Coturnix japonica: one gene and its partner. The protein of the gene in region 1 binds, or shares a complex with, the protein of each later gene. Links are inferred from orthologs where the notes say so. Each region holds a gene or a part of one and is shown in the gene's direction. Other genes may lie near its edges.

Region 1 (6,239 bases):
TATTGGGTTGTATTGGGATATTGGGTTGTATTGGGGATATTGGGTTGTATTGGGGATATTGGGTTGTATGGGGGATGTTGGGTTGTATGGGGGATATTGGGTTGTATTGGGATATTGGGTTGTATGGGGGATATTGGGTTGTATTGGGGATATTGGGTTGTACTGAGCTCAGCTGTAACCCAAGCACAGTGCTATGAGCCCTGGCTGTGCTGGGGTCTATATGGGGGGGTGTCAGCAGTGGGGATGCCAAGCCCCCCCTCCCCATGTGCTGTTGGGCTCAATGGGGTCCCCAGCTGCCCCTGCAGCAGGGAAGGAATCCCACATCCCATAATAGCCGTGTGATTTCCTATGGGCCATGGGGATACATAGGAATCAATGGGGGGGGGCACTTAGAGACTGGGGTGGCCCCATTGAGGGGACACTGGAGTGGGGGGGGGGGGGGGGGGGGGGGGGGGGTTGGATCTTGGCTCCCAGAGGGGCAGTAGGGGCTCCTGCTGCTGGGTAGCAGGTACTGGGAGCACTGTGGATACTGGGAGCAATGGCACAGTGTGTGTAATGGGGTTATTGGGGTTACTGGGGGCACTGGGAGCCCCAAATAGGGGCACAGACGCCAAGCACAGCCCACCCCGCGCATGCGCACTGCCCACATGGCACCACGTTGGCCCCGCCCCCTTCACACACTCTTTTTTATCAATGGGTGGGATGGGGCGGGGCCATCCCGTGGTACGATGCCTCCTATTGGTCATCCGGCTCCGGCCGCTGTGTCGCTAGCCAATAGGATGGCTGGGCTCACACGCGCGAGCGGGTGGGCGGGGCGTAGTGGCGGCTGGGTGCGTAAACATGGCGGCGGAGCGAGGCACGGAGCGGGACATGGAGCGGGTGACATGTACAGCACCCGTTAACATCGCCGTCATCAAGTACTGTGAGTAACGGGACGGGACGGGGCGGGTTGGGTCGGGTTGGATCGGGTTGAGTTGGGTTGAGTTGAGTTGAGTTGGGCTGGGTTGGGTTGGGTTTTGCTATGCCATGCCATGTAGAGCCATGCCAGGCAGTGCCATGCTGTGCTATGCTGTGCTATGCCCATCCCAAGCAGTGCTGTGCTGTGCCAGGCAGTGCTGATGGGCAGCAAGCAGTGCCATGCCATGCTATGCCATGCCATGCCATGCCATACTAAGTGGGTCCATGCCATGCCATACCATGTTGTGCCATGCCATGCCATGCTATGCTGTGCCATGCCATGCCATACTAAGTGGTACCATGCCATGCCATGCCAAGTGGCACTGAGCACAGTGGCACCGTGCCATGCCAAGCATTGCTTCACCTCTCCCATCTGTTGCAGGGGGGAAGCGTGACACCGAGCTCATCCTGCCCATCAACTCCTCTCTCAGCGTCACGCTGCACCAGGACCAGGTTGGTGCCCACCTCAAACCCTGGGGATCCCATATCCCCACCCTCAGGGCTGTGTGCCCCCCCCCATGAGCTCAGTGCCATCCCATACAGCTGAGGACCACAACCACGGCTGCTGCCTGCCGTGACTTCACCGAGGACCGGCTGTGGCTGAATGGAGAGGAGGTGGATGCGGCACAGCCCCGGCTGCAGGCCTGTCTGAGGGAGGGTGAGCTGGGCTGGGGGCTGGGGGGGCACAGAGCCGTGTCCTTTGCTTCCCTATAACCCCATCCCTGCACAGTGCGGCGCTTGGCCCGTAAGAGACGCGGTGACGACGCTGCAGCCCCGCTCAGCCTGTCCTACAAAGTGCACGTCGCCTCCGAGAACAACTTCCCCACCGCTGCTGGGTTGGCATCCTCAGCTGCTGGCTACGCCTGCCTGGGTGGGTATGGGGGGCAGCAATGGGGTGGGGGGTGATGGGGACGCTGTGACCATAACGCTGTTATCCCTGCAGTGTCGGTGCTGGCACGGCTCTATGGTGTGGAGGGGGAGCTGTCGGAGGTGGCACGGCGTGGGTCGGGCAGCGCGTGTCGCAGTATGTTGGGGGGCTTCGTACAATGGAACCGTGGGGAGAGGCCGGATGGTAGAGACAGCGTGGCACAGCAGCTGGCACCTGAGACACACTGGCCGGAGCTGAGTGTCCTCGTGCTGGTGGTGAGGGATGGGGTTGATGCTGGGGGTGGGAGGTGGACGCCTTGTAGGGTGCCCCATGTCTTGTGTTCTGGTGTAGGTCAGCGGGGAGAAGAAGGCGGTGGGCAGCACGGCGGGGATGCAGACCAGTGTGGACACCAGCCCCCTGCTGAAGGTGGGTTGGATGGTTGGTGATGAGCAGCACAGGCTGCATGGGGAGGTGGGGAGGTGTCGGGGTGTGAGCATGGTGGGATGGGTTGGGTTTGGGGATCATGGCCACCTCCTCCAATGGCTGAGTACTGAGGGGCCATGGGAAGTGAATCCTATGGGATCCATGAGATGACCCCCCCCTGGTGCTGCCCCTATAGTACCGTGCTGAGGTGGTGGTGCCGGAGCGCATGACCCGCATGGCTCGCTGCATCCAGGATCGAGACTTTGAGACCTTTGGCCAGCTGACCATGCAGGACAGCAACCAGTTCCACGCCACCTGCCTCGACACCTTCCCCCCCATCTTCTACCTCAATGACATCTCGCGGCGCATCATCGCCCTGGTGCATCGCTTCAATGCCCACCATGGGTGCACCAAGGTAGGGCAGCCCCCCCCCTATGGCCCCGTCCTGCTGGCACTGCACCCCTCTCACTGTGTCCCTGTCCCCAGGTGGCCTATACCTTCGATGCTGGCCCCAATGCGGTCGTCTTCATGCTGGAGGATACAGTGGATGAGTTTGTGGAGGTGGTGAGGCGCAGCTTCCCACCCAGCTCCAATGGGGACCAGTAAGGGTGTTGTCATTTGGGACTGGGGGGGTGGGAATGGGGATGGGGACATTTGGGTGGGAATGGGGATGGAGATGATGGCTATAGGCACTGGTGGGATGGCGATAGGGATGGAGATGTGGACGGGGACTGGTGGGATGGGGATGGGGATGGAACCATGGGACATGGGGTGGGGTTGGGGACATCTGGGTGCCATCCCTGCTGCAGGTTCCTTCGAGGCCGACCCGTTGGCACAGCGGTGCTGCCAGAGGAGCTGCTGTCAGCCGTGGTGATGGATCCGGTACCAGGGGCCATTCGTTACATCCTACACACCAAGGTATGGGAGGTGGGGGTGGTCCTGAGCCTCCTGCTCCGTGCTGTCCCCTAACACATCTCCTGTCCCCACAGCCTGGCCCTGGCCCACAGCTCCTGGATGCCCCCAGCCAGCATCTACTGGGCCCCGATGGGCTGCCATGCCACTCTGCCTGAGAACAGGGGACACCGTGATGGGGACACCGTGATGGGGACACCATTGGGGACAGCAGGGATGCCCAATGGGGGCTGCCCCTGGGGGGCACACAGGCAGGGACCCACCGTCCCATTGCCTGCATTGGGGCTGTGAGATGCTGTGCTCATCTGTCCCCATCCCGACCCAGATGTGGCTCCTCCCATTGCCTGGTTTTTACTCTTTTCTAATCAAATAATAGAGGTTTTCCAGCCGCAGTGCTGCTCTGAGTCCCGAGTCGCTCCGTGGTCCCCATTAGGGCTGCTCCTGCCCCATGTCACCCTATATATTCCCATGTCACCCTATATATTCCCATGTCACCCTATATATTCCCGTATCACCCCGTGTCCCCCTACGGCCCGGCTCTTCGTGGGGGCGTGTCTTTGTAATGAATGGGCGTGGGTTACTCGAAGGGGCGTCGCTTAAGGAGGGGAAGGGGTTCGGCTGTTCGGCTCCATCGCTGCCTTCCGGGTCGGGTTGGGCCGAGCCCGAACTAAGGCTGAGCTCGAACCATGGGGCAGATCGAATGGGCCATGTGGGCCAACGAACAGGCGCTGGCGGCGGGGCTGAGTGAGTGCGGGGGGGAGATGGGGAGTTAAAGGGGCTGGGTGATGGGGGGAGGGTCAAAGGGTCCCATGTGGGATGGGGATGCAGGGATGGGGGTGAGGATATGGGGAAGGGAGTTCAGGGCTGGGGGTGTAGGGTTGAGAATGTGAGGCTATAGATACGGGATATGGGGAGAGACCCCTGGCTGTGTTCCCCCCCGACCCCCCCATCCCGTTTTGGCCCAACCCCGCCCGGAGATGGAGGAAGTGAGCGGCGATGAGGACGCGGAAGCGCTGCCGGAGCGTATCACCAACATCGTGTGTCACCGTGGGTCTCCCCCCCGCTGCCCCCCAGCCCGGCCGCTATAGGGTTTAACCCCCAACCCCCCGCCCCGTTCCCTGTTTGGGCTCGTGGGGGTCCCACGCGAAGCATCCCCCGCTGTTAATAGCCGGGATGCCAGCAGTGTCCCCGCTGTCCCGCAGTCATGCTGACCGGAGGGATCGTGGCGGTGGCGGGGCAGTTCAAGGGCTGGTACTTCGCAGCTTACGCCATGTATCCTTATGGGGCTCGGGGTGGGAGGGGGCACCTTATTCTGTGCAGGCGGGGAGGGGGGGGGGGGGGTCCCTCATCTCCCTCTCTGTGGCCCCACATCGCTCTATTCCTGCCCCTTTCCCTATGGAGCTGCCCCCCAACCCTGGCCCCATTTCTGCCCCATTCCCTGTGGGGTCTCACCCCCACCCTTGGCTCCAAACCCCCCTTTTCCTTGACCCCCATCCCCCTGCAGTGCTGCAGGCGCCTTCGTCTGCCTGTTGGAATACCCACGCAGCAAGAGGCAGAAGGGCTCCACCATGGAGCGCTGGTGAGTGATGGGGTGCTATTGGGGTGCCTATATATATTTAGGGGGGGGGTCTTTTGGGGCCGGGTGCCCCCCTGACTCTGCATATTGCCCCATAGTGGCCAGAAGTACATGACAGCAGTGCTGAAGGTGTTTGGACCGCTCACCCGGAACTATTACATCCGTGCCATCCTGCACGCAGCGTGAGTGGGGTTGGGGCTGGGGGGTGAACCTGAACCCCCCCCCCTTTTAACCTTCCCCTGTACCCTCAGGCTGGCCGTCCCTGCTGGCTTCCTGCTCTCCACCATCCTGGGCACCGTCTGTTTGGGCATTGCCAGTGGCATCTACCTGCTGGTGAGCTCCTCTGGGGGGGTAATGGGGGCTGATTATGGGGCTGAAGGAGGGGGCTCCCTGCTGACTGCTCCCCCCTGGCCCTGCAGGCAGCGGTGCGTGGGGAGGAATGGCGACCCATTGAGCAGAAGCCCCGCGAGCGGCCGCACATGGGGGACACCATCAAACAGCCCCCCAGCAACCCCCCACCCCGACCCCCTGCTGATGCACGCAGGAAACAGGCAGCAGAAGTGGGGGGGCAGGTGAACCCCATCCCTGTAGAGGCTGAGTAACACGGAGCTGGGGGTCCCAGTGCTGCACTCACTTCCCTACTGTACCCCTCACCCCCCCATTGGTCCCCAGACCCCTAGGGGTGCTCATCTCCCCTCCTTCCCCCCCCTTGGTTCCTCAGAATCCCTGGGGGCTGCTCAGGTGCCCCCATATCCCAAGGAGCTCCCCCAGCCTCACAGCCCCATTGTGGGCTCACGCAGCTCTGCTTGCTGCGCCACCTCTTCACGTTTTATACATTGTCTTTTTTCTTTTCTGGTTGCTTTTTGCAATAAAAGGACCGAAAGGCCCCAGATCCTTCCTGATCACACCCCATTCATGTGCCCTGGGTGTGAGTTGGGAGCTCAGTGCCCAAATCTTTAGTGACCCCAGCGATGGGACAGACCTGCAGTGGTTAGGGTTAGGGTACCCAGAGGTGACACCCCCAGCCCCATATCCCCTCTCCCCCCACCTCCAGCACCCATGGGTGCTCTAAAAGCATATGGAACAACCCCGGTAGGTGGCGCTGAGTCCATGGGATGTGAGTGCTTGGGGCAGAGCTGTGAGAAAGGAGTGGGTGGTGACAGGGTGCTGGCATGGGGCCGCCCCCATTCCCCCCCCTTCCCTCCCCATTGCCTCCCCCTTCCCCTGGGTGTGCTTTGGGGATGGGAGATGCCCCCCAGCATCCACTGGGGTGGCTGGGATGGGGGTTCCCAATGCACCTCTATCCCCGCATCCTTGGCACCTCCCCTCCAGCATCCACAGGGGGACCCTGTGCACCTCAACCCTTTGCCCTCCCATTTATCCCAGTGTGGCACATTGTGGGGTCAGGCTTTTATTTTCAGGCTGGCGTTCAGTAGCACATGGAGGTCTCAATAAATAGCACTGAGGGGGAATAAATAACTGGGGAGGGCTAAGGCAGAGCCC
Region 2 (5,939 bases), on another chromosome or scaffold:
TCCAGTTTCCTGTGTGTGGCTTTGTATTTTTCAACAAGGCTTGGAGTCCCTGAGCTGGCAGCTGTTAGAAAGATAAACTGAGCTCACGTGGCACATGTGTTCGGCCTGCTCTTACTGTGCAGGGTTTTGAGCCGAACACGAGTGTACTGAGCACTTGATCATCTGACAGAGACTTGTCATAGCACTGTAACTGATGGATCCATCACTGTAATTGATGGATGGTGGGCAGTGTGACTGCAGGCAAACCTTTCAGTTGCGTTGACTTTAAAGGTGACTAAAATCCCTTTTTTTAATTGTCATTTTTAAAGTGAATTGATGTCTGTGGCAGTGCTGGAAATCAACGTGGTGCATCGAGTTTGGGTGGGGAGAAAGTTCTGCCTGTTTCCTCTGCTGGGTTGAGGAGCTCAGTACGGACGCTGTGTTACTCAATGACTCGCTCAGCAAAGCAGTTCTTCTTTGTCTCTTGCTTTGTAAACTACTCCTTTTCTCAATGCATTTCCTGCTGGAAATGAAAGTGTGTCATCCCACCCAAGTCTTACACGTACGTGTGAACAAAACACGGCATTCAGTGGGCTTTCCTTCCTCTGCAGTTAGAAGCACATACCTCCTAGGATCCCATCTAGAAGCCGCTGCTCAGTTTTGCTATCTGTTCATTGACTTCTGCTGGGATTTTTAAATATTTTATGGTGCTTCTCTGCTGTTGCTTCACGAGTGAAGACATTACAGGCGTTCTGGTAAATGCGGAATGTTTGGCTTAGATAAGGCTAAAGCTCTGGTACTTCAGGAAAACAATGCAGGTTAAAGATTTGCTCATATGACATAAAACTTAGGCGCTGATTTATGTGCCCTGTGGAGATCCACTGGGAACAAACCAGCTGTGGATGTACCTGTGCAGCCTTAACAGCTGGAAGCAAGCAGGCGGTTTCTGAGCTGTTTTTGTTCTTAGGGCTCTGACTGGTATCTTTTTAGAGCTCTAATTTGGCTACAAAACACAGCATGTTTGCTGGTTGTGCAATCTTGTTTTGCCCTTGTTTTCCTCTTCATTGTGAGGATTGTTAGAGGGAAAATAAACAGCAACTGTTGCTTGTGCTTGTGGAAGATGCAGAGCAGTAGGAACGTGTGCTGGGATAACAAGGGCAGGAGCTGCTGCTGACTGACACTTGTGGAGAGCACTGCTAGGAGTTATTTTTAGCAGCTTTTGTTTTCACTCTGAAAAAGCAGCTGTTCAGTGGTATGAAATCTCAAGTGATCTCGTGTAACGCTGGGGGAAGTTCTGTGCTTTGGAATGATGATTATTGGGTGACAGAGAAACGGTCAGCTTCCTGCTCTTCTGGAGCTGGTTTTCATTGTAAAACTATTGTAAGAAAAGAGTCTGTCTGGAATTGTGCTCGCCTTGAGGCCTTGCTGGCTAAAGCTGTGCTGCCTGATCTGATAACTTGTCAAGAGGAAGGAAGGGGGGTGATGGGCTCCTTACTGAGTGCAGGGTGAGGTTCCGAGCACCTCTGCTCTCCAGTGCCACCTATGGAGAGTGCAGCGACTCCAAGTGTAGGAACTTCTGCTATTGCACTTCTACACATTGGGTAGTACTGGAAATGCTGAGCGGTATATTGGGGAGATGGGTGTCACAGCGAGAAAAGCAGCTCACCTGGAAAAGTGGCATATATCTAAACCTCTGCTGTAGCAAAAACATGGCAATTCTGTCCAAGGACAGTGCTGGTGATGTCCCATCTGCTGCTTGATGTGAATGGAGACCTGAGCCATGCAGCACGCCTGGGGTGGAGCTGGTTCATGCAGCTGAGAGAGGAAGGATGTTGTCAGAGGCTTTCAGAAGGCTGCCACCTGTTTGCAGATATCAACATTTCTGGAATTAAACAGCAATTACTTCAGCTGGCCTCCGCCTCCATTCCTGTGGCTGCAAACAGCAACTAAATTCGTGCAGTTGGGTTTTAGTCGTGGGAGAGGAGGAGAGTGCAGCATCTGTGCAGCTCTGGTGCCTGCAGGATGGAGGAAATGCTGGCACACATTGTCTGATGGCGTTCAGAGCGAGTCACATACGTGTCTGCCAGCAGCAGGAACATGGGGAGCTCTGCAGAACCGCTTAGTGTAAGAAAGGGATGGCGTGCCTTGTTTCCAGGAACAACATATGTGGCTTTACAAAGACTGGTTCCTAGAAGGTGTCAGAAAGCAATTCACTGCAACTCATTAAAATGCTGAATTTCTGTTGGCCATGTTTTTAATTGCAGTCAAATGTTACCAGTTTCATTTGATGCAATGGTGGGTGGACAGAGCTGTGATTAAGCAGTTGCTCGAAATTTTGTTATGACTAAGTTTGGTTTGGAAGTATCTCAGAGTCTACGTCTTTATGTGCAAGGATTTATACTTCGCAAAACAAGTGCAGTTCTAAGTTCCTTATCACAGAAGTTGGTCAGCTTAGAGAAAAGCTGTAAGTACTCAGAGGTTGTGCTTCATTGCAAAGATAGGTATTGAAGTTCATTTTGAGGATTGGTAACTGTAATACCCGATTTGTGGGGCAGTGAGCCAGAAGGCAAGGGAAGCAGGAAGCCTGGAACGGAGCAGGCCTGAAACAGGGTTGTTGAACGTGTTTTTTCTTGTTCAAGTGGCTGCCTGATTGTGCTGCAGATACATGCTGCAGGCAGGCGCTTCTCAGCATGGAATGAAACCTGTCACCACCTCCCTGTGCTGTTCTATTAGCCAGAGCAGACTCACCGGTTTCAGAGCAGGGTGAGCAAAGAAACTTGAGCGCTGAGACAGGTTCCTGGGCCTCTGCTGAAAATGTGGAGTTCCATATGAATTTGTTATAAGCTTTTGTTGTCTGTAATGAACCCACTGGAAAGCGAAGCATCAGACCAGCCAGGTTCTGGAAGCACATGAGCACGTAGCTCTGAGCCTCAGGAAGTTTCCTAGGGAATGTGCTCCTTGCTGCTTCCAGTGTTTGAGGGTTTTCACGTTTGTCCTTGGTCGGTAGGACTGGCAGAGCCTGCTTTATAGCTCGCTGACAGCAGTCAGCAGCACACGGTGGCTGATGAAGCATCCCAAGGATGTGAGCAGCAGGTTGTCCTTGGGGGAATGTGGAGCTTTCCCTCCGCATAGTGGCTTGTTAGCAGTCAGCCCAGTGCCCCTGCAATGGGGACAGCACGGGATCTCCTCTGCTGGCAGCTGTTAAGCCAGCTTAGCTGCATGGCACGCAGCTCCCAGATTTCTCCCACAGAAGTTTTTGCGTGATAAATCTCTGTGCTGCTCTGTACATGAGTGTGTCAAGCGTGTTGCGACAGGAAAACATCTGCAGGTCGTAGTTTGCTCGAGCAGAGGAAAATTCTGGTGTTCAGTTCTGCCAGCTCGGTTCAGGAGGGTGTATGCTGGAAGAAAAAGAAGAAAATCAGATTGTTTCCTTAGAGCATGTGTGCAAAGCAGGGCAGGAAACTGCCACCGTGTGCTGTGATTAGTGGGACATTCTGCTCAGGAACAAAAGTGCAATTAATAGGCACGGAGGCTAAAAATCTGTGGCAATGCTGTGCACAGTGAAGCAACTCCTCTTTCATGGCTTGAATGTGTGTGGTGCTGTTGTCAGGGGTTGCCATGGCCCTCCTGGGTTAAGTGGCACTGAGCTGTTCCTGGGTTCAGCTATGGTAGAGGTACTTAACATCCCTCGAACTGTGAGTCACTAGGTAGGGCTGATGGGCTAACATTGAGTGTTAAGTGATTTTAAATAGCATTTTGAAGCTGATCTTAGGTGTATGAAGTAGCAGTCCAAGGTTCTCCAGAAAGAAAAGAAATGCTATGATTCAAATGTAAAACAGTTGCTAAAATTCAGATAGGAACGCCTCAGTTGTTTGCAGCAGGAGAGCTATGAGCCCATGACTAATGCTCATTTCTGAGAGTTGTCTTTGTCTTCTGCAAAAGCGAAAGGATTACAGTGTATTTTTAGCAGTAGCATTTGGTTTCTGGTAATATTTCCTTTGCTGTTAATACTAGCTGTGGTTTTAGACTAAAGCTTTCATGAGTTCCTTCAGTTTGTGATAGACTTGAATCAGGAGGCTTGAGAGTCCAAGCTGCTGCTAACAGCAAGGTTTGTCTGTATGTACAGCAAGATTAGGAAGTTCCTACTGGCTTGACTTAAGTGTGAGAAAGTGATTTGTGAGGCGGTGCCAGTCAACTTGTGCAGGAGTGTGTCTGAGAAGGGCAGTGGGGTGGGCTGTGGGGCGGTTTGGGTGCTGTCTTCATTGTTGGAATGCAGTTTATCTGTAAGGCAGCCAGTGAAGTGCTTGGTGAATGCATGCCGGGAGTCACTTTGCAGTAGCAATAATCATGGTGAGCACTGCCATTTGTATTGTTCTCACTTCAGCAAAAATAATGATATGCTGAGAAATGATGTGGTTTCAAGCTTTCTTCAAACTTATGTAAAATAAAACTAAGGGTAACAGAATGGATGTTTATATTAGCTGTGTTTCCACACTAGCAGTAACCTTAAGGCTACAGCCTCTTACTTGTTTTTGTGTGTAATATTTTCTACTGGCACTCTCAATTGTTCCTTAGGTGACTGGGTGTAATTAGTTTTCTTCCCTAAGAGGAATATTATTGCTTGCTATTTGAGATGAATGTTCTTTACATGTAAACTTTCTCTTTTTTGCAGTGCTGTAGGTAAAACATGCCTACTCATCAGTTACACAACCAATGCGTTTCCTGGGGAATATATACCCACAGTGTAAGTACTTACAACATTCTAAAAACATTCCTGTCAACCCACTGGTGCTTCCTGCTGGTCCAGCTTCCTCACTGAGCCTCCTGAATTGTGGGCACACACCACTCAGTGCCATCATAACATCTGGCCAAGCATCTGTGTGTGCTGCACAGAAGTGCAGTGTTATAGCTTTCCTAGTTATGACTCTGCAGGAAGAAATACTTAGGTGCCCAATTTGACTACAATCAAATGCAGCTAACTTTTATTTTTTAGCTTTGACAACTACTCTGCTAATGTAATGGTTGATGGCAAACCAGTCAATCTGGGCCTGTGGGATACAGCTGGTCAAGAGGACTATGACAGACTACGCCCACTCTCCTACCCCCAAACAGTAAGTACTGGTGTGGAACTGAAGAAGGTAGACAGCTCTAAGCTGTTCTGGAGATATTACATCTGGAGCTGTATTTCTTACTGTAATAAGGTACTTGTTGCATGTAGGCTGAAGGATGGTAGCTTGCTGTAGCAAGAATCTTTGATGTGCATACAGCTATATAGATGTTCAAATTTACACCCTTGGGTGTTTGCGAGCATTGATGCATGTTGGTTTTATGTAGTTGCAGTCTCAGAATTAACAAGAATTAATGATTAAAAGAGGAAATTAAAAGAGGGGGGGAGGAGGGAACAACAAAACCTGAGTAGAGTAGTCCCATCAGTGAGTCCATTGATACTAAAGTTAGCATGGCTGCCAAAAGTGGGGTTTGTTTTGTTTTCAGGCACGATGCTTGGCCGCAGCCTGACACTGTCACTGCTAAGCACTTGATGTTGTTTAGCCTCTGTGCAGATGTACTAAATATGAAAGAGGCAATCCTGAATGAAGATCTTAGTGGTATTGACAGAGGCTGGGTTGTGGTTTTCAAATCTACTTAACCCCATGGCTGCTTTCTTACTTACTGCAGTTCCTGCTATAACATCCATACAAACGTGTTTCTGTTTGCAGTGCTTGCAACTGGTTAAGTCCTGGCTGCACACTGCTCTTCCTTTTACAAAGAAAATGCTGAAGTAATCTACTCTTTCTTTCCAGTGGGACTTCAGCTGCATTTGGTCTTTGCAGAGGTTGGCTTAGAGCAGTCATGTTCAGCTGGTGCTGGCATCCTTTCATTAAAGAAAAGCAGTGACTTGCAGGTGCTGTCAGCATTGATTACTGCTGTTGTCAGCTGTTGTTGACAGTTAGTAATTCAGG

Evidence for each region.
Region 2: cytochrome b-245 light chain (region 1) and RAC1 share a complex: the UniProt entries of both Homo sapiens proteins name them as parts of the phagocyte NADPH oxidase complex. The link is inferred for Coturnix japonica from reciprocal best matches to the Homo sapiens genes CYBA and RAC1.

Annotation. Positions count from the first base shown.
Region 1 is NC_029526.1:16,406,160-16,412,398, reverse strand, and holds cytochrome b-245 light chain, read left to right. Parts: upstream 1-3,591; 5' UTR 3,592-3,608; coding exon 3,609-3,904; intron 3,905-4,362; coding exon of another isoform or gene 4,363-4,432; intron 4,433-4,664; coding exon 4,665-4,739; intron 4,740-4,834; coding exon 4,835-4,918; intron 4,919-4,987; coding exon 4,988-5,069; intron 5,070-5,155; coding exon 5,156-5,338; 3' UTR 5,339-5,633; downstream 5,634-6,239. Other genes in the region: MVD (diphosphomevalonate decarboxylase), read left to right, coding at 841-922, 1,340-1,410, 1,501-1,615, 1,688-1,828, 1,901-2,100, 2,177-2,251, 2,445-2,663, 2,735-2,850 and 2 more. UniProt on the Homo sapiens protein: Subunit of NADPH oxidase complexes that is required for the NADPH oxidase activity that generates, in various cell types, superoxide from molecular oxygen utilizing NADPH as an electron donor.
Region 2 is NC_029529.1:8,458,963-8,464,901, reverse strand, and holds part of RAC1 (ras-related C3 botulinum toxin substrate 1), read left to right. Parts: intron 1-4,651; coding exon 4,652-4,723; intron 4,724-4,972; coding exon 4,973-5,090; intron 5,091-5,939. UniProt on the Homo sapiens protein: Plasma membrane-associated small GTPase which cycles between active GTP-bound and inactive GDP-bound states.